Oryzias latipes: one gene and its partners. The protein of the gene in region 1 purifies or fractionates together with the protein of each later gene. This does not show direct contact. Links are inferred from orthologs where the notes say so. Each region holds a gene or a part of one and is shown on either strand. Other genes may lie near its edges.

Region 1 (2,588 bases):
ATCACTGCTGTCTAACCTTTTTCGGGCCACGGACCGCTTTTAATGAAGTAACAAATTTTTTTTCAAATGAAAATGCTGCTACAGGAAATTTAGTTAAAAAAAATCCAAAAACATTTAAAAAATGTAGAGACGACAAAGATTCAATAAAACAAAGTTGTAGAAGTTTGATTTGTAAGAAAATTCAATAAAAGCAACTTTACAGTTTTGTTCATAGAACACAATTACTATAACACTGAGAACTCAACACAGACTCAGTTCATCCTTCAGGGCAGAAGATTTGTCATATTTTGTTTTTACATAAATCCTGATTATCTGTATTTTAGTTTTTTACCACAGAGGAACATTTTCTGTTTCTGAACAGTGCCTGCCTTTATTCACCAATGGAAACTTCATAAATGTCCTTTTCACAAGTTTAAACAAATCAATCTTCATTCTCTGTATAATGTTTGCAGCTGGTTTAAACTTAAACTTGATGAAGATTTTAACTTTAACATCAAAGTGGATTCTAACAACCAGACGCTAGCTTTAGCCGCGTTTGACTTTAAAGGTGTGATGGATAAATGAAGCAAAATAAAATGACACCACTGTTTTCTAAATATAATCATAAACCTGAATCCACGTGTAATTGTTTGGTTTTCATTAGCTTTTTAACTTTGGGCTGCTAACTTTGCAGTCTGAGCAGCTGCTTAAAGTCACATGACGTGTCAGGACAGACAGATGTGGCGAACAGCATCCAGTCGTTCTGTCGGTATCGGAAAATAAACTAAATGGAAATAATTTAAGTTGGTGTGTGCATTTTTTCTGTCTTTGACCCGGTAAAGTATGCTAGACTCAAACTGATGTGATTTTGAACAAGCTTTATATCATCTTGTTTAGATGAATAGTAGCGCTGTGTTTTTATCATTTCTAGATTTCTGTCATGTTTACCTTTTTGTGTTCCTTTTGACACGGACAAAGGAGGCCAGATGGCTGCAGATCTGGACATGGAGGCTGCTGGTGGTGAGGGCTGGGGAGACGATGCTGAGCTTAACATGGATGAAGGTTTGTTCAGACCGAAACCAGCAATGTTTCCTCAGTCGTTCTATTTTAACCCCAAAAACATTCTTAAATTATGAAAAAACTTTCCATCTGTTTGCAGATGGTTTCATGGATGCTCCTGAAGGATTAGATGAGGGAATGGTCAAAGAGGAGGGTGGAGGCTGGGATATTGATGAAGAGGTGGAGCTTCCTCCTGAGCTGGTGAGCAGATGTGCATCATCATCTAGAAGAGCTAACATCAGACTGAAGAAGGAGTCATATTCCCACCTCTGTGACTTCATGTTAAACTGTTCACACAGCAAATTGGCCTCCTCTGTTTAGACACACAGCCCATTCGCTGCTGGACACAAAAATGTGTTCAGACACTAGACTGCATTTGGGAGAAACTCCTATCAGTATCCTCAATTCTCATTGACAGTATATTTTATTTACAATGCACGGAAGACATGGAGGATGTTTAGAGATCAGGTTTATCTATTATTTACTTATTATGCAGAGCTCTATAAAAGCGCCAGTAATCACGTCTCCATGTCTGGCTTTCTGATTGGTTTATGCAAAGTCTTAGGCAGTTATTTGAACTGGTTTTGCTGGCCGCTGCGCCGTAGAACCTCTGATCACATCTGTACATTGATTTTAACATTGAAAGTGGCCACGTGAATCGTCTCAGTATGAACGCAGATTTCACTCGTACTTTTTTGTTGAGCTTTTTTGTTTTGTTTTTTTATTTTCCCACCAACAGGATCTTCCGTCTGGAGCAGGTGGTGGAGTTGAGGACGGCTTCTTCGTTCCACCCACCAAAGGAATGGCTCCAACCCAGATGTGGTGCAACAACTCCCAGCTGCCTGTGGACCACATTTTGGCGGGCTCCTTTGAGACCGCCATGAGAGTACGATCACATCATTCATCATTTTTTATGACAGCTATGTAGAAAAAATGTCTGTTTTACATCTTACACACTAAATATCCTCCCTTCAACAGCTCCTCCACGACCAGGTTGGGGTTGTGAACTTCGACCCCTACAAGCCTTTGTTCATGCAGACTCTGTCCAGAGCCCGCACCTGTTACCTGGGGCTGCCATCGCTGCCCTGCCTGCGTGGTCATCCTCAGAGAAATTGGAAGGTGCAGATTTATCCTCATCCAAATTCTCCATGCAGCTTTTCAGAACCTAATGATAATAACAGGTCTGCATCACATCCGCTGCATTCCTGCAGGATTGTGGGGCAAAGCAAGGGTTGCCCGCCGTGGGACTCCGTCTGTCTGATCTCATCGCTCGCCTGCAGCAGTGCTACCAGCTGACCACTGCTGGGAGGTTTGAGGAGGCCGTGGAGCGCTTCAGAGCCATCCTTCTCTCTGTGCCGCTGCTGGTGGTTGATAACAAGCAGGAGATAACAGAGGTGACCCACACGCTGTGCTTAGTCTTCATGATTTCACAGATCTGAAGACATCTGTTGGGACAGGACATTTTTACATACAAACAAATCTCTAGATAATTGTAAACTTGTTCTGTTTTGACCATGTTTCAGGCTCAGCAGCTGATAACAATTTGCAAA
Region 2 (3,519 bases), on another chromosome or scaffold:
AAACGCTTCCCGAATCGGTCCCTTAAACCCACCTATCTTGTCGGCCTCCATGGCCTGCGGCTCGGGCAGCTCTACGGGACGACCGTCCACATGCGTGAAGACAAATGGCTTCTCTGAAGCCACCATTAGGCCCTTCCCTTGAGGCTCCACAGCAGCATAGTGAGGCACGGACTTCCCCCGCAGGAGCCTTCTCTTGCTCACCTCGTATTTTTTCTCCTGACCTGCGTTTGGAAACCAAAGAATGCTGTGACAAAGCAATCTCACCTTCCGTTTAAGTAAGCCAGAAACGCATTAGGAGAAAGTCAAACTAAATATTGATCGAGAATCATTTTCTGCTCTTGACATGAGCAAGTTGCAGCTTTTATTTAGATTAAACATCAAAATAATGGAGACTTGGATGTAAAATGTTAAAACTCCTTCCATCTGCTGTGCTTCCAAAGCTGCAAAGAAGCTAACTGACTGATTGCTGCAAATCTCATTAGAAGTCCTGAAGAAAACTGGATTTTACCATCTTCTAATTTGAAAAAGTATTTATATATAAATGGTATATTTCCAAAAACATAATAAAAAGGAATTTTTTAAGATGCAGTTAATTTTCTTAACGAAAACAAATACAAATTTGAAGATGCAGCACACAGAAATTCATGGGCTGCATCTTTAGGTCAATGAAAAATTCTGTATAGAAATGAAAAAGCAGCTGCTGCGTTTTTTACCTTAATAAATTCATAATTTAATTGCAGGATTGTGTTTTGCAGAAAGCATTTGCTTTGAGACTGAACTGGATATATTTTAGTATGGACAACCAGGACTTTGTTAAAAAATCATGTTAAGAACAAAAATTGCATCAAGGTAAAGGTAAAGGTAAAAAAAAAAACAAATGTCAATCAAGGTTAAAACTATGTACTGCTAGGACTTTTTTGTGATTTGCTGTTTGACGTGATTAAATTGTGAACTAAGAATGTTAACATTTAGACTTTTGTTTTTAAATCGGAAAGAAGGCTTCAAGAAATAAATCAAAAATTCTCACCCAATTGGCAGATTATTTAAAAACCAAAAAAGTAGAAACCTCGTTCTATCGAGAATTCTTATTTTGATAAAAAGAATTCTAGTGACTAAGGCTTGTTTTCTCAAACCAAGATTATTTTGCTATTGAAAAACTATCTTGATAAGGTTACTTTTCTTGTAAAACATTTTTTCTTAAAATGAGGGTCCTTTTACTTTCATTGGATTGAGTTTGTTGCTGTCTCTATGAGTGGGACAAATGTTCCACCAACTGAATGAAGAAATAACTTCTTCCATTTCATCAAATGTCAAGAATCTTATTGAGACTGCTGATATTTGCTCCAAACAGTTCTAATATCATCTGATTCTTTGAAATCACATCTTATCTAATTCTGAATACGGAAATAAGTTTTCTAATAAAACTACGGTAAATTCATCATTCACATCTTACTTGACATTCAGATCAGTGCATCACCCACCATGTGCTGCAGTGCTGCTGACTGTGATCCATTCAAGTGACACATAATATCCACTTCCTGTGGCTTCCTGTGAGTCTTTCTGGATGCGGAGCAGCAGAACCTCCACAGTATGAACGCCAGCCTGGACGTGAGAGACGCTGTGGAGGATGGTGAAAGGCTCGCCGGTGTCCTCAACAAACAGCGGCTGTGGAAACACGTTCAGGGGTGGATTTGACAAACAAGCTGTAGTTAAAGAGCAAAATCTCTTTGCTGGAGATGAATTCATGCAAACATTTTCAATAAATCTTCATTAATTTTGATATCCGTCAGCTCTTTATCACTCCCTCAGCGTGCATCCAAGTGTTGTCAAATGTTCTCATGGTTTTCTGATGGGCTTTAAATGTTTTCATGGACACTTTCAGATTTTCTGTATCTGAGCATCTTTGTAGGATTTCAGATGAGGCTCTTTGTAAGATTGGATACTCAACAGGAAAACATTCAATTTCGCTGAACATAGCCAGGTACAAAAGAACACATCCTAATAGGAATAGAAAAAAACTTGAAAGCCTGGACAACTAGTACTCCAGATATCTTTCAAAGACAGAAAAGAAAGTTCAGTCTTTTAAAGCAAAATTCCAGATGGACACAGAAAACAGGACTGTTTACTGTAATACTTGTTCTTTATTTTGAGTCATTCTGGAGAAGACTGTCATTGCAGCACACCCTCACCACCTTCTTATCATTTAGGAATCTCTGTCAATGCTCTGGTTGTCTGAACAGTAGACCTAAGGCATTATTATTATTTTTCCTCTTTAAAGTGATGCATTCAAGTCCAAAAGTATGTCCGTATTCTGCGTGACAATGTGGTTAAGTGTATAAACATTTGAAACCATTCACTCATTTTCTTCCTAACATGAGGTGCTGATGATGCATTCAAGTGCAGCCATTTCAGTCTCATTAAGAAGACTTCACAATGTTTTATTAACCAGAACCAACATATTAAAGTCAGGTCTGAATCACGGGGTAATAAGGCATATCTTTATCTACATCCTGCAGCTTTACTCACTTCCCACTTCACATGCGAGCCATCTCCCCTCTTGCCGGTGCGAAGAAGGTACAGGTGGCCTCTACCATCAGAAAGAGCAGCCCAGGTGGAGGAGGTGAGGCTGAGGGAGGAGCACAGGTGGTCTTCACAAAGACCAGGTTCCTCACTGATGCGGTACACCTCTTTTGGCTTCCCCAGTGCTGAGTCCTGGAATCATTTCACATCCACACACATACACACACACACAAAAAACGTAATGTTTGACAAAGTCTTAAGGAAAATACTTCATAGATTTTCAAAGTTTTCTTTCCATAGAATGTAGAAACATATTTTAGTCAGTTGTTTTCCATTTCAAAGAAAAGTGAACGGTCATTTTGACAGACTTATTTTTCTTTTTGAAATCCAATGACAGTTATTAAAAACGATAAAAATGTATTTCAAAGCAATCTAGTTTTGTCAGTGACTATGTCCGAATGAGTGCACTACAAAATGTGTTTCAAGGTCATTTTTTTATCAAACAAATCAATCGAGATTTCCTTTCATGCATTACAGCTCAAAGTGCAACATTTTCATCTTCAGAACTCAGTGGACTCAGTTGTCATAAAATGTTTGTATTAATTAGATTTTGACTTTGTGCAATGTGGGATGTCATATTTGCCATTAAAAAAAAACAAAAAATAAAAAAGCTAGTGAGCATGGTGTCCGAATTGCTTTGAAAATACAGGGCACTAGATACGGTAGTCCTGCACTATATACGTTTTCTTTAGGGAGTGGGGAGGGAATTGGAAGATAGCCATTATATTTGTCAATATAATTATTGACAAAGAAGCAGAAAGAAGCAAACATGTATCATTCCAAAACTGATTATGATAAGTGACAATGTCTGGTCCAGAAAATAATATTCTATGCCTTTATTTTTTGGCGATGAGTCGCATTACGGTTCAATGGCAAAGAGGAAACAAACTACTAAAACGTTAACAGGCCAGTTTGAAAACTAACGAAAGATGTTATGAT
Region 3 (2,955 bases), on another chromosome or scaffold:
CCTCACCACCCAAACTGCAAGACAGCTGTTTATTTTTACGGTTTAAGGTCTGACCTGTAAGCAACACTTCAACCTCTATCTATCCCCCCTGGAGGGACAGATTTCCCAGATATTGTAAATGTATGACTGGGGTTGTGACCCTTCAGCTTGGCTGACTCCCAGAAATGTCCCTTTTCTCATAAATTATAAATAGAGCAAGTGGAACATTCACACCCGTGCCCACAGAAAGCCGTCGCTATCTCAGCAACAGTAAACTATGGAAAATATTTTGACTTTGTTTAAAAGAAAAGTGTCTGCTTTAGTTGGTTTAGACTGCAGACTCAAAAAAATAAAAAATATTCCAGTCAGTTTCACTGCAAGATATCACAGGAGGAATGTGAGGAATTCTAATTAGTGCCGGAAGATAAGGGGCGGATGCAGAGTCCCTCTGCTTCTAAAGGCCAAAACCACCTTTTGGCTAAATTACTAAAACCCTGCATTAAAGATAAAATGCAACTTTTCAGTAGAATGTTCGTACAAACTTTTAATAAAGGAGCAAAATTTACTGTAATATACATGTTTATTGAAAATCATACAGGACAAAGCAAAAAAAAAAAAGAAAAGAAAACAGAGGTGCAGCTGTCAATGGGAGGAGATTAGAGGAAAAAAAAGAAAGAAAGCAGAAGTGGCTGACCATAGTGATTTACTAATCTGCACAAATGAAAAGACTAAGATGACTGACACAAGAGAACACAAGCTGTTTTAGAGGTTTGCCTTCTTTTGAGAGAGATTGATCTTGTCACCCAGGCTCAGAGCCATCCCCTGTGGAACCAAGAAAGATGCATTAAAGCAAACCGTAACATGTCAATAAAACCACAACAAATACGATGGTTTTTGAAGTTTCACTTCATCGCTTATCTAGGTGAATACATCAACGTGCTTTTGAGAAGTGGTTTACTTTAGCGCTGCAACAGCTGCGACCCACCTGACTTTTGGCTCGGATGCGAATGTGTCCGGTGACCGGCGCCTCCGGCCCGAGGTGGATGGGCTTCTCGATGCTGACGTTAGCCAGAGCATCTTCTCCAAAGATGGAGCGAGCATAAAGGTTAGCAGCCATGAAGCCGCAGAAGCCAGAGAGCGCCTGGGTTTTACAGGGGAAATGAAGAACAAGATTAATCCTGTCATATAAACTGAAAAAACAATAACTCTCTGACTACTTTATATGATAAATTCTGAAACAAACAAACAATGCCAACCTTTTCAGGGGTCAAACACTTCATGTTTGTGGACTTGAGGATGTGCTGGAGGTACTCGTTCAGATCAACAATGTTGGTGTTCACGGTCACCTGAGATGATTAAAGATCCACACATATTCCATCAATTTCCAGAGGTTTTTGAATGTAAACAACGTTCTCTCAATTGATAAATCAATATATGCGGTCCCTGTCGTAAATAAACAAACAACAACCTTGTTTTCCCACTCAAACTCTGCCCACATCTGTCTGAACTCTGCATCGGTGCAGGATGCCGGCTGGATGTAGTCCATGATGTCGATGTGGATGTCGCTGAGAACCACACAGTTTCTGTCGCTGGCAGCTCCAGATACGTCATAGACTGTAAAGCAGGGAACAAAGGCATTAGATTAGATAACAGAAAGGGCAGGAAAGCGGAAAAAAAAGAAGAAAAAAAATCTCACCAATGTTGCCAAAAATGATGCCGTTCTCTGTAGAGGCCACTTTGACATTAGCCTTGATGTTTGCAAAATCGTGAGGAGCCAGAGTTAAAGGTGAAGGTTTTTCCACCAACTTGAGATCCCCTGCAGAGAAGAAAAGCTCATTTAAGGCGCACAAGCCAGTTAGAGATGCTATAAAAACTGAGAAGCATTAGCTCAGTGAAGCAGAAAGTAGAAAGAGCTAACCTAAAGTGGCCAGTTCCAGGGTGCAGTTCTGAAGAGTATCACTAGTCTGGTTGACCACCAGCACATCCAGAACAATGTCATACTGGTTGACATGGACATAAGCTTCAGCATACACTGGGTCAGAGAAGCCGGTCAGCTGGGTCACCTAATGTGGATTTAAAAAAAAAAAAACATTACTTACATGAAGATCGAATCAAATATAAATGTTTAAAGATGATGTGTTTGTTCTAGCATTCATTTTCTGGCAGGATTTCCTTCTTCCACCAGAAAGAACTTCTGTAGAAACAATTTAAACTTATTTGACATCCACATCACAAGCCAAAACTGAGTTTATTGTGTTTATCTGTTTTGACTAAACATCGTTACCTACCAAGTTTAATGCATAAAAGATTTCAAAATTAAAATATAAATTTTAAAAAAGCACTAAAACTGGGATGATCACAAAGTAAACTTTGTACTTTGGGATTTTTCTGCAGTGCACCTTGTTGAGTTTTGATGCCAGAGGGTCAGCAGCTTCTTTTCTCTGAGTGTTCCCCATAGCAGCCAGCAGGCTGAGCTGAAACTGATCCTCCTTGGAGCACATCTCATTTTTGGCTGTGAGCTGCATGAAGGAGATTGGATCGTCTGCCTGAACCGTCACATTCCGTTTCTCTGACTCTTTCTGTGGCAAAAAGAGAAAGAAAAACCACAAAATATGAGCCTTCTTTTCTCTGAAGTTATCAATTCAATTGAGTTATATGTTACACATCTAAAGACTAGAAACAAGGCCACAAATGTACTGAACTTTATTACCTGCTCATTATCCAGCTGTAAAGTCCAGATGTTTGCTCTGTTTTGTGTCAGTAATGATTTTTCTGAACAGAGAGGTGAGGACTGAGTGGACTGTTTACCTTCTGTGACAGCTTCTCTTCCTCCAATCTGACAGCCAGCATGTGTGACAGGGATTTGCGGCACTCCTTGTTGAAAATGTCATTCATGAGCGGCGAACACTCTGACAGAACCTTCAGGCAAAGCGAGATGCGGTCCACATCGTCGTCTGTGATTGGCTTCTTGGGCAG
Region 4 (4,088 bases), on another chromosome or scaffold:
TATGCGCGCACACACACACACACACACACACCCACACACACACAGACTCATCTAGACACTAAATGGCAGAAGCCATTATTGGCTAGCTACCACCTTACCACTGAATAATCAGTGATCATTTGCACACTTATGCATATGTGACGATACAAAATATGTCAGCCTGGAGGCAAGTAATCATACAGAAAAAGAAAATGACAATAACAGTACCCTTGTATATTCAAACTTCAAAGTAATGACTTTAAACACTCAATAGATCTTTAAACTCCACAGCAGAGTGAGGGGTAAAGTAGGGATGTTGTCCTCACCTGGGTGACTGTCTGCTCTGTCAAAGGTACATCATCTCCCTGCAAGAACAAATGCATTGTATTTACAGCTCGCACATTTACTGTCCAATCAAATGGAGATATTTTAGAGAAGAGGAGCGGAGCGGAGCTTACTCTGAGGGCTACACGATGCACAACCTGCTGTGGGTCACTCTCCAAGATTACTCTGAAAGTGAGGAGTCATAGTAACGATTACGAAACAAAATGAAGACACAGTAACGTATGATTTTTTTTTCCCCTAAAGAACACATTTCAAGACGCTTTATGCTTCTCATTTCTTACCCTCCGTCTACGATCTCATCCACAGCCAAGAAGAGTCCTTCCATATTCTCCAGCAAGGCTCTCTTTTCAACATTTTTCCTAAAAAGTTATGAAGAAATAAACTTAGAGCTGAAACTCTTTGAATATTAGAAACGTTTTTAAACCATTTAAGGTGCTATAAATATTTGCAGACAAATGCATACCTCAACATCTGACTCAAGGAATCGAAGAGGCAATTTAAAACAGCCATAAGCATCAGCTGTTGAAATGAAACACAAAGACATATTTAAAACGTTCAAGATAAAAAGCTGAAACAAAGACAACGTATGAAAAGTAAACATTAAAAACATAAACTAAGTTTGAACTTGTGAATTTGGAGAACTAGTTTAGTTCCAAGTAGACGAGCTTAAGAAACGGCAGAAATCCACGTTCTAAAAATGTGTCATATTAAAATCTACCCAAAATAATATTTTAAAAACAAAAGCTTGAAATAACAAAAAATCAGCAGTATTGATCACAGTAGAAAACACATTTACCAGTGTAAATGAAATATGTATTCACACTTAGGTTGGTTTCTTAAAACGTATTTGAATATGAAGCTGTATTATTATAATATTTAAAAATCATTAAATGTCAATTTTATGTTTTAATGTCAACTAAAACAATTACCTCATTTTCATGTGAACTCCCGATCACATAAAAGAAGAGGTCTATATTGCTCTTGTACACAACAGTCAGGCCCTCCAGCAAAGCTATTTCACCTGAGTGGACAGAAAAGAAAAACAAAATAAACTTTTTGTGTTTAAACAGCATCATGCTAAGTCTTTATTTACTGATTGTAAAACATCACGTACTGTCCGTCCTGTGCGTCTTGTTGAATATGTTTTTCTCAAACGCTTTCTGTTCCTTCACCGTTGGATACGTGTCATCGTAATACTGAAAATACAATCGCATTACAAAAGATTCTGAAAAAAAACTATCTCTACATCAGTAAACAAAATGTAGGTTTTTAATAAATACACAATTTATTGTATCCGATCAAACCATATTAATGACTAGATAGTAATCAATAAATTTCTACATATATAAGTAAAATAATTAAAAGACGTGGGCAATGGTAAAACCTGATCAGAAAATGCCGTTTCCCCACTAAGCTAAGCTACTAATTTAGCAATTTGGATTGACTTGAACTTGCAAATGCATTAAACAACTTATAGTACAGCTTAAATATATTTAGTATTTAGGAAGGCATATGTTTTCCTGATTATTTGAAGACAACTTTATAGGAAATGCACTTTGAATGTTACTAATTGACAATTACACGGTTTATTAAAATTGACAATGAAACATATTTTTTCAAGGAAAAACAACTTTTAATATAAATACCTCACATAATAAAGGACATTTGAGTGAATTCTGACTAATTAAGATGCCTCTTCAGGTGGTCTAAGGTTTATTCAGTGTTTCCAGCATCATGTTTCCAACTACCCACACTTCATCTCTTGTTTTTCATTGATCTAGCATTTGGATAACTGACCTACAAACACAAACTATCTTTGTTTTTATGTCATGTATTATATGACATAATCTTTTATTTAACAGATAAATAAATAAACACACACCTTGGCATAAAGTCTTTCTCCGTCATTATCCAGAATGAGAACCGCTTTGACTGTATACAAGGATGGTTCCTGGAATGACAACAAGAATCACCTACGTTTTATGTTCATTCAATTTATATAAACATTAAGTTAACATATGCTACAATCGAATCGGGACGCGAACGACGAAAAATGTCTAACAGAATGGCAGAACAAACATTGTGACAAATGGGACTAACTGTAACGATCACAAAATAGTGGAAAACAATATTCGAAGTAGTGCTTCATTTTTAGCCAGTGTGACCAGGAAGACGGGACACTTCCACATCATCAGAAAAGAAAGTGGCACATAAGGCTAACTTTGCAGGGTCTAGCTAGCTCGTTAGCCAACTCTTACGGTAGTTAGACGACCGGATAACGCTGTACAGTAAACCACACCCTTACCCGCCTTTCAATAAATAGTTCTCTGTGGATAATAGTCTTTCATTTTTTTAAACGACACTATATTTGAAGAGGAAACTTAAACACAGTCGTACCAGTATGGGAGAATCCATCTTCACCAGCTAACAGCAGGCTAGCACAGCTCTAACTTACGTAATACGTAGAGTTGAGGAATTTTACGTCACGCGCAAACGCAAAGTTCAATTCCACTCGGGGTCTTTACAGAAATTATTTACAACATTGACTTTGCATTTTCCTTAAGCCAGCAATTGATCAATTATGATTTGTTATTTTAAGTACATAAAATTAATAGCACAGGTTCGATCACATCTGAACCACAATGTTTTTTGTTTTGTTATCCGAGTGATTTGTTTACCATTATCCAGCAAACCTTAAATTTAAATCTATATTAGCAAAGAAAATAGCCACTTTCAAATGGCAAATAAAAGATGAGCAACTAATGATGTCAAAATCTTTCAAACTATTTCCTAAAGCTTATTTTTTTTTTGGGGGGGGGGGGGGGGTTGCCTTTCGTTTTTTTCTTCTCCTTTTTTAACACACTTTTATGAGACTAGAAAGCCATTGGTTGGCAATTTATAAAAGTAAATTGAACTCTAGACAAAAAGCCTAAAAGCACTGTACTAAAGTAGTAATAGCATTCATTCATTCATTCATTATTTACATTGACTTTTAGATTTATGGAATGGGGGGGGGTATAATACCTAATATGCTAATTCTGGAATTTTCAGATCTTGAAACATTTAAGTTAAAAAAAAATGAAGGGGACAGTTTACCTTGCTTGATTTTTTTTTCTAGCAACACAAGACCTCAAATAGTGTCTAGAATTTCTTTTAAAAAAGCATGCATTATGTGTATGCTGTTATTTTCCTATTGGGTCGGGCTATCATGATAACTGATATTAAAAATGTACCTTGCCATTACAAAGATATTATACTAGTTTTATTGTATTTTAAAGTATAAAATAGTTTGTTCTCTCATAAATGTTGTTTATCTTTACCCCTATGCACCACTACTGCTTGTCCATATATATCTAGTCCATTTCGAGAGAGTAGATAGAGATAGACGTTGATTATTTGGCTGAACCCCTCAGCCAAATAATCAACAAGACTGGCTATGGATACTGACTCAGAAATGGGGCCAACATCAGTCACCTCCTCATGGATGACTTAAAGCCATATACTAAGAGTGAGTGTGACATTGACTCCCTGATCTACACCACCAGGATGTACAGTACTGACATTGGGATGTCATTCGGGCTTGAAAAAATGCAGCCGGATGGTGACAAAGAGAGGCAAGGTAGTCCACACATAGGGGTCTCACTCCCAGAAGGAACAATGGCAGACATTGAGGACAGCTACAAGTACCTTGGAATTCCGCAGGCAAATGGCAACCTGGTGCAGGCAACAAGGAAAGCTGCAACAGCTAAATACCTCCAACGAGT
Region 5 (3,970 bases), on another chromosome or scaffold:
TTCATTTGCTCTTTTTGCCAAAGAGAGAAAAAGCAAGGTACCAGTTTTGCCACACCTCCTTCCTCTCCTCCTTTGACCAGCATTAGTGCACATGAACCCTCTAGGTCACATGTGTCAAACTCAAGGCCCGGGGGCCAAATGTGGCCCGCCATATTTTATGTGGCCTGCCACAGCATAAACGTTTTTAATCTCTTATAATATTTTTTTTAGTTGATTACATATTATTAATGTGTAGCTGCAGTTGTCATTATTCAATGTTTGCAGGTCTTATGTGTGTATGCAGACAAATTGTTGTCATCAAACCATCAGTTGGATGCACGGCTGTGTGCAGCCTTTTATTGTAAAATGTTACACGTGTCATACGTGTTCTTTCTAGCTCAGTTTGATGTTATTTATTCACGTGGACAGTTTGATCGTGGGTTTTAATAAGAGGACAACATTTCAAAGGATTTATGCTAGAGTAACAAGCAAACATGTTTTCTATGCAACTGTAATGGTCACTTCAAAAAGTTAAAACAAATAAATAAATGAGTTATTTAACATCAAGGAGCAGTTACGTTTATTTTTAGTTACATGTATAAGTTTTATCTGGCCCTTTGAGGACAGCCTCTATACTGATGAGGCCCTCGGTGAAAATGAGTTTGACACCCCCGCTTTAGGTCAACAGTACCAGTAACAAGTCATTAACACCAGAGATGTCTCCAGTGACGTCTAAACAATTCTCTCTTTTTGATGGTAAATCTTTGATGTTTGGCGATCAGTTAATCAGCTGATTCTGAAGCAGAGAAGACCAGCTTTGCATCAATCTGGGTGCAAAGCTGCTTTACTGCATGACAGAAGTGTTGATTGGGTGACTTGTTGATTGGGCAAGCATATCACTACTGTAAGTGTTGGATGTCAAGATAAAGATGCTTTTCTCCGCTGCAGAATCCACTGGAATTACGTTAATTGCATCAACTGTTGAAGAGTTACCGTAGTCGAAAGAATGTCAACACTAAAGCTAAAGCTCCAGTGTTAAAGAGTTAATTAAACCACACAAAAGGAAAATTTGATTGAGATTCTCATATTTGATTTTGCTTTGGTTTTATGCCAGATGCCCTTCCTGACACACCTTTGACAGGCACATGAAAGCACTGGACTGTGCCTTCTTGTGGTTGCATTTGTTTGGTAGAGAAAAAAAGAAAATGTTTTTAATTCGACGGCATCCAGCCCTTCAGTTTGGATCCAGATCCCAGGTGGATGCATCAGACTGGACTGGAGCAGGGAGCCTGTGGCCTAATGATTGTAGTTTGTATGTAACACATCATCACACCCCCCCCCCCCCCCCCATTCTGATTCACAACGATTTGAATAAAGAATTACTCAGAAATGAAATTTTCAGCTTAGTTTTCTTGATACATGTCCTTCATTATAAGTGCTACAAGAACAAGTTAATGACACCACAAATACAATTTCCATTGGAGTGGGTCTTTGAAAATAATGGGGTTGGAATGAATGAACATGTAGTTTCATTCATTTGTGAATGACTCCCTTCCATCGGAGAGACATTTAGTTTGGCAACATCCTCATTTTTAGTCTGTCATATTTTCACTTCAGCTTAGGCAGACAAGGGACATTCGGGGAAACAAGTTAACAGGCCTAATGGTCACCACGGCGACCACAAGGTGATCACCAGGTGCCAGTTGACAGAACCTCTAGGTGAAACCGAGCTGTACACTTCTGATAGACAGAGTGCATGTTGTTTTTCTCATGCTCATTATGAAGTATTTAGTCTTGTTTACTGCTGTGTTCTGAGTCGTTTATATTTACAAATAAATTCAACTTAAATTGTTTATGCGGTATTATTGACGTTTATGAAAAAAATATTGACGTTTTACCTCAAATAAATAAATGAACGTACCCAGAGTGCACTCCAGTTCATGCGATTCATTTACCCACAAACCTTAGCGTCTGGAATGCTTCCCAGATGAATTGGGGCATATTTTGGGTGAATCACAGAAAACTCCAGATCTTCAAACCTCAGAACTCTGACCTGATGACAGGAGCCATTAGTTCCCCACTGGACCCTTCGGAACCTCGAACATGGACGGTGTGCCAAATCATGACACTGTTGTGTGTCTTTGGCAGCTGCCACACAGAGCAGGACCGAACTGTTCTTGTTCTTCTAAAATCTTATACGAACTCTGGTACTGACAAACAGCAGCTAGGGTCACACTAACAGAACTTTAATGACATTCACAGCCAACACAGAACAGAATTACTCCCGGGCCGAACACGACCCGTCATCAACCAAGTTCGGTCGGTCCAGTCCGGCTTGACAACACTAGCCTCGCTATCTGTACTAGCTAATTAAATGGACAACGTGTCCAACTGCACTATTAGTCTGTGCTGGACCCAAACTTAACCAAACCAGAGGACAGTTGCGTCTCCTGACTTTAGTTCCGTTCCGAAGCGCAGCAGCTAGCTGCTAGCCAATGTTATGCTAGTTGCAGGCCCGACGCGTACTGGAGCAGGGGGGGTCCGGTTCTGGACAGACACCTACCATTGTGGTCTGTCTTCGGGATTCCGCTGGAGTCCGTTTCTCGTGGTTCCGGTTCTGAGTTTGGTCCAGGGACTGTAGTCTCTGACAACGCGCGCGGCTTCCACGGACTGCTAGCGTCAATATGGCCGCCGCAGAGCCACGTCTCCACCGGAAGGAGCGCGCGGCCCTGATCAGCTTGCGTGGAAAACAGTGACGTGTCACGCGGACACCAAAACCTGGAGCTGTCGAGTGGAAACGCTCGAGCGCCCAGTTTCTCCATAGATTGATCCGGTTTTAGACGCGTGCCGCGAGCGTTTTGCGTCGCACCCACTACTCACTAAGAAGTGAGAGGGAACAACGGCACGAGCCCCATCAGGAACCTCCGACCAGTGCTGTGAATTTACATCCAAACTGTTCTACTTTACAAATTACATACACATGACAATTTTCAGAATTGAAATGTGTAACATGAGCCCCGTTTCATCATTAAGGTACTTTCTTTATGATACCTGCAGAAGTAGACCACAATAATAATATTTTCTCATTACAAAAGAGGTGATTTGGTTCAATCATTGGCTCTTTTTGTTACTATTCTTCTTTCTCTTTCGGCTTTTCCCATCAGGGGTCGCCACAGCGAATCATCCTTTTCCACCTCACTCTATCATGAACATCTTCTACCCTAACGTTAGCCAACTTCATGTCCTCTGTTAAGACATCCATATATCTCCTCTTTGGCCGTCCTCTTGCCCTCCGGCCAGGCAGCTCCATCTCCAACATCCTTCTACCAATATATCCACTATCCCTCCTCTGAACATGTCCAAACCATCTCAGTCTGGCTTCTCTGACTTTGTCGCTAACACAGGCAACATGAGCCGTCCCTCTGATGTACTCGTTCCTTATCCTGTCTAACCTGGTCACTCCTAAGGAGAACCTCAACATCTTCATCTCTGCTACCTCCATCTCAGCCTCTTGTCTCTGTCTCACTGCTACCGTCTCTAACCCATAGAGCAGAGCTGGTCTCACCACTGTCTTGTACACCTTTCCTTTGAGTCTTGCTGGCACTCTTCTGTCACACAACACTCCTGACACTTTCCTCCAACCGCTCCAACCTGCCTGCACTCGCCTCTTCACCTCTTTTCCACAATCCCCATCACACTGAACTGTTGACCCCAAGTACTTAAACTCCTGCACCTTCTTCACCTCAGTCCCCTGTAACCTAACGCTTCTACCTTGATCCCTCTCGTTCAGACACATGTATTCTGTCTTACTACGACTGACCTTCATACCTCTTCTTTCCAGAGCAAACCTCCACCTCTCTAGCTGTTCCTCCACCTGCTCTCTACTCTCACTGCAAATTACAATGTCATCCGCAAACATCATTGTCCAGGGAGATTCCTGTCTTACCTCGTCTGTCAGCCTGTCCATCAGCATAGCAAACAAAAAAGGACT

The links.
Region 2: the proteins of copa (region 1) and nudcd1 purify together in Homo sapiens (co-immunoprecipitation; 3 studies listed by BioGRID and IntAct, with this or other methods). This does not show direct contact. The link is inferred for Oryzias latipes from reciprocal best matches to the Homo sapiens genes COPA and NUDCD1.
Region 3: the proteins of copa (region 1) and copb1 fractionate together in Homo sapiens (co-fractionation; 6 studies listed by BioGRID and IntAct, with this or other methods). This does not show direct contact. The link is inferred for Oryzias latipes from reciprocal best matches to the Homo sapiens genes COPA and COPB1.
Region 4: the proteins of copa (region 1) and copz1 fractionate together in Homo sapiens (co-fractionation; 6 studies listed by BioGRID and IntAct, with this or other methods). This does not show direct contact. The link is inferred for Oryzias latipes from reciprocal best matches to the Homo sapiens genes COPA and COPZ1.
Region 5: the proteins of copa (region 1) and arcn1 fractionate together in Homo sapiens (co-fractionation; 4 studies listed by BioGRID and IntAct, with this or other methods). This does not show direct contact. The link is inferred for Oryzias latipes from reciprocal best matches to the Homo sapiens genes COPA and ARCN1.

What each region holds. Positions count from the first base shown.
Region 1 is NC_019875.2:3,225,402-3,227,989, reverse strand, and holds part of copa (coatomer subunit alpha), read left to right. Parts: intron 1-957; coding exon 958-1,041; intron 1,042-1,138; coding exon 1,139-1,239; intron 1,240-1,777; coding exon 1,778-1,924; intron 1,925-2,016; coding exon 2,017-2,157; intron 2,158-2,249; coding exon 2,250-2,432; intron 2,433-2,561; coding exon 2,562-2,588. UniProt on the Homo sapiens protein: The coatomer is a cytosolic protein complex that binds to dilysine motifs and reversibly associates with Golgi non-clathrin-coated vesicles, which further mediate biosynthetic protein transport from the ER, via the Golgi up to the trans Golgi network.
Region 2 is NC_019869.2:17,455,692-17,459,210, reverse strand, and holds part of nudcd1 (nudC domain-containing protein 1), read right to left. Parts: intron 2,713-3,519; coding exon 2,527-2,712; intron 1,666-2,526; coding exon 1,482-1,665; intron 222-1,481; coding exon 33-221; intron 1-32.
Region 3 is NC_019861.2:19,372,496-19,375,450, reverse strand, and holds the end of copb1 (coatomer subunit beta), read right to left. Parts: coding exon 2,788-2,955; intron 2,559-2,787; coding exon 2,379-2,558; intron 2,043-2,378; coding exon 1,898-2,042; intron 1,796-1,897; coding exon 1,676-1,795; intron 1,594-1,675; coding exon 1,448-1,593; intron 1,326-1,447; coding exon 1,236-1,325; intron 1,121-1,235; coding exon 965-1,120; intron 802-964; coding exon 742-801; 3' UTR 513-741; downstream 1-512. UniProt on the Homo sapiens protein: The coatomer is a cytosolic protein complex that binds to dilysine motifs and reversibly associates with Golgi non-clathrin-coated vesicles, which further mediate biosynthetic protein transport from the ER, via the Golgi up to the trans Golgi network.
Region 4 is NC_019865.2:12,850,760-12,854,847, reverse strand, and holds the start of copz1 (coatomer subunit zeta-1), read right to left. Parts: upstream 2,820-4,088; 5' UTR 2,740-2,819; coding exon 2,722-2,739; intron 2,276-2,721; coding exon 2,207-2,275; intron 1,521-2,206; coding exon 1,439-1,520; intron 1,346-1,438; coding exon 1,254-1,345; intron 844-1,253; coding exon 788-843; intron 684-787; coding exon 606-683; intron 490-605; coding exon 438-489; intron 345-437; coding exon 306-344; intron 1-305. UniProt on the Homo sapiens protein: The coatomer is a cytosolic protein complex that binds to dilysine motifs and reversibly associates with Golgi non-clathrin-coated vesicles, which further mediate biosynthetic protein transport from the ER, via the Golgi up to the trans Golgi network.
Region 5 is NC_019871.2:31,556,491-31,560,460, forward strand, and holds the start of arcn1 (coatomer subunit delta), read right to left. Parts: upstream 2,816-3,970; 5' UTR 2,546-2,815; coding exon 2,543-2,545; intron 1-2,542. UniProt on the Homo sapiens protein: Component of the coatomer, a cytosolic protein complex that binds to dilysine motifs and reversibly associates with Golgi non-clathrin-coated vesicles, which further mediate biosynthetic protein transport from the ER, via the Golgi up to the trans Golgi network.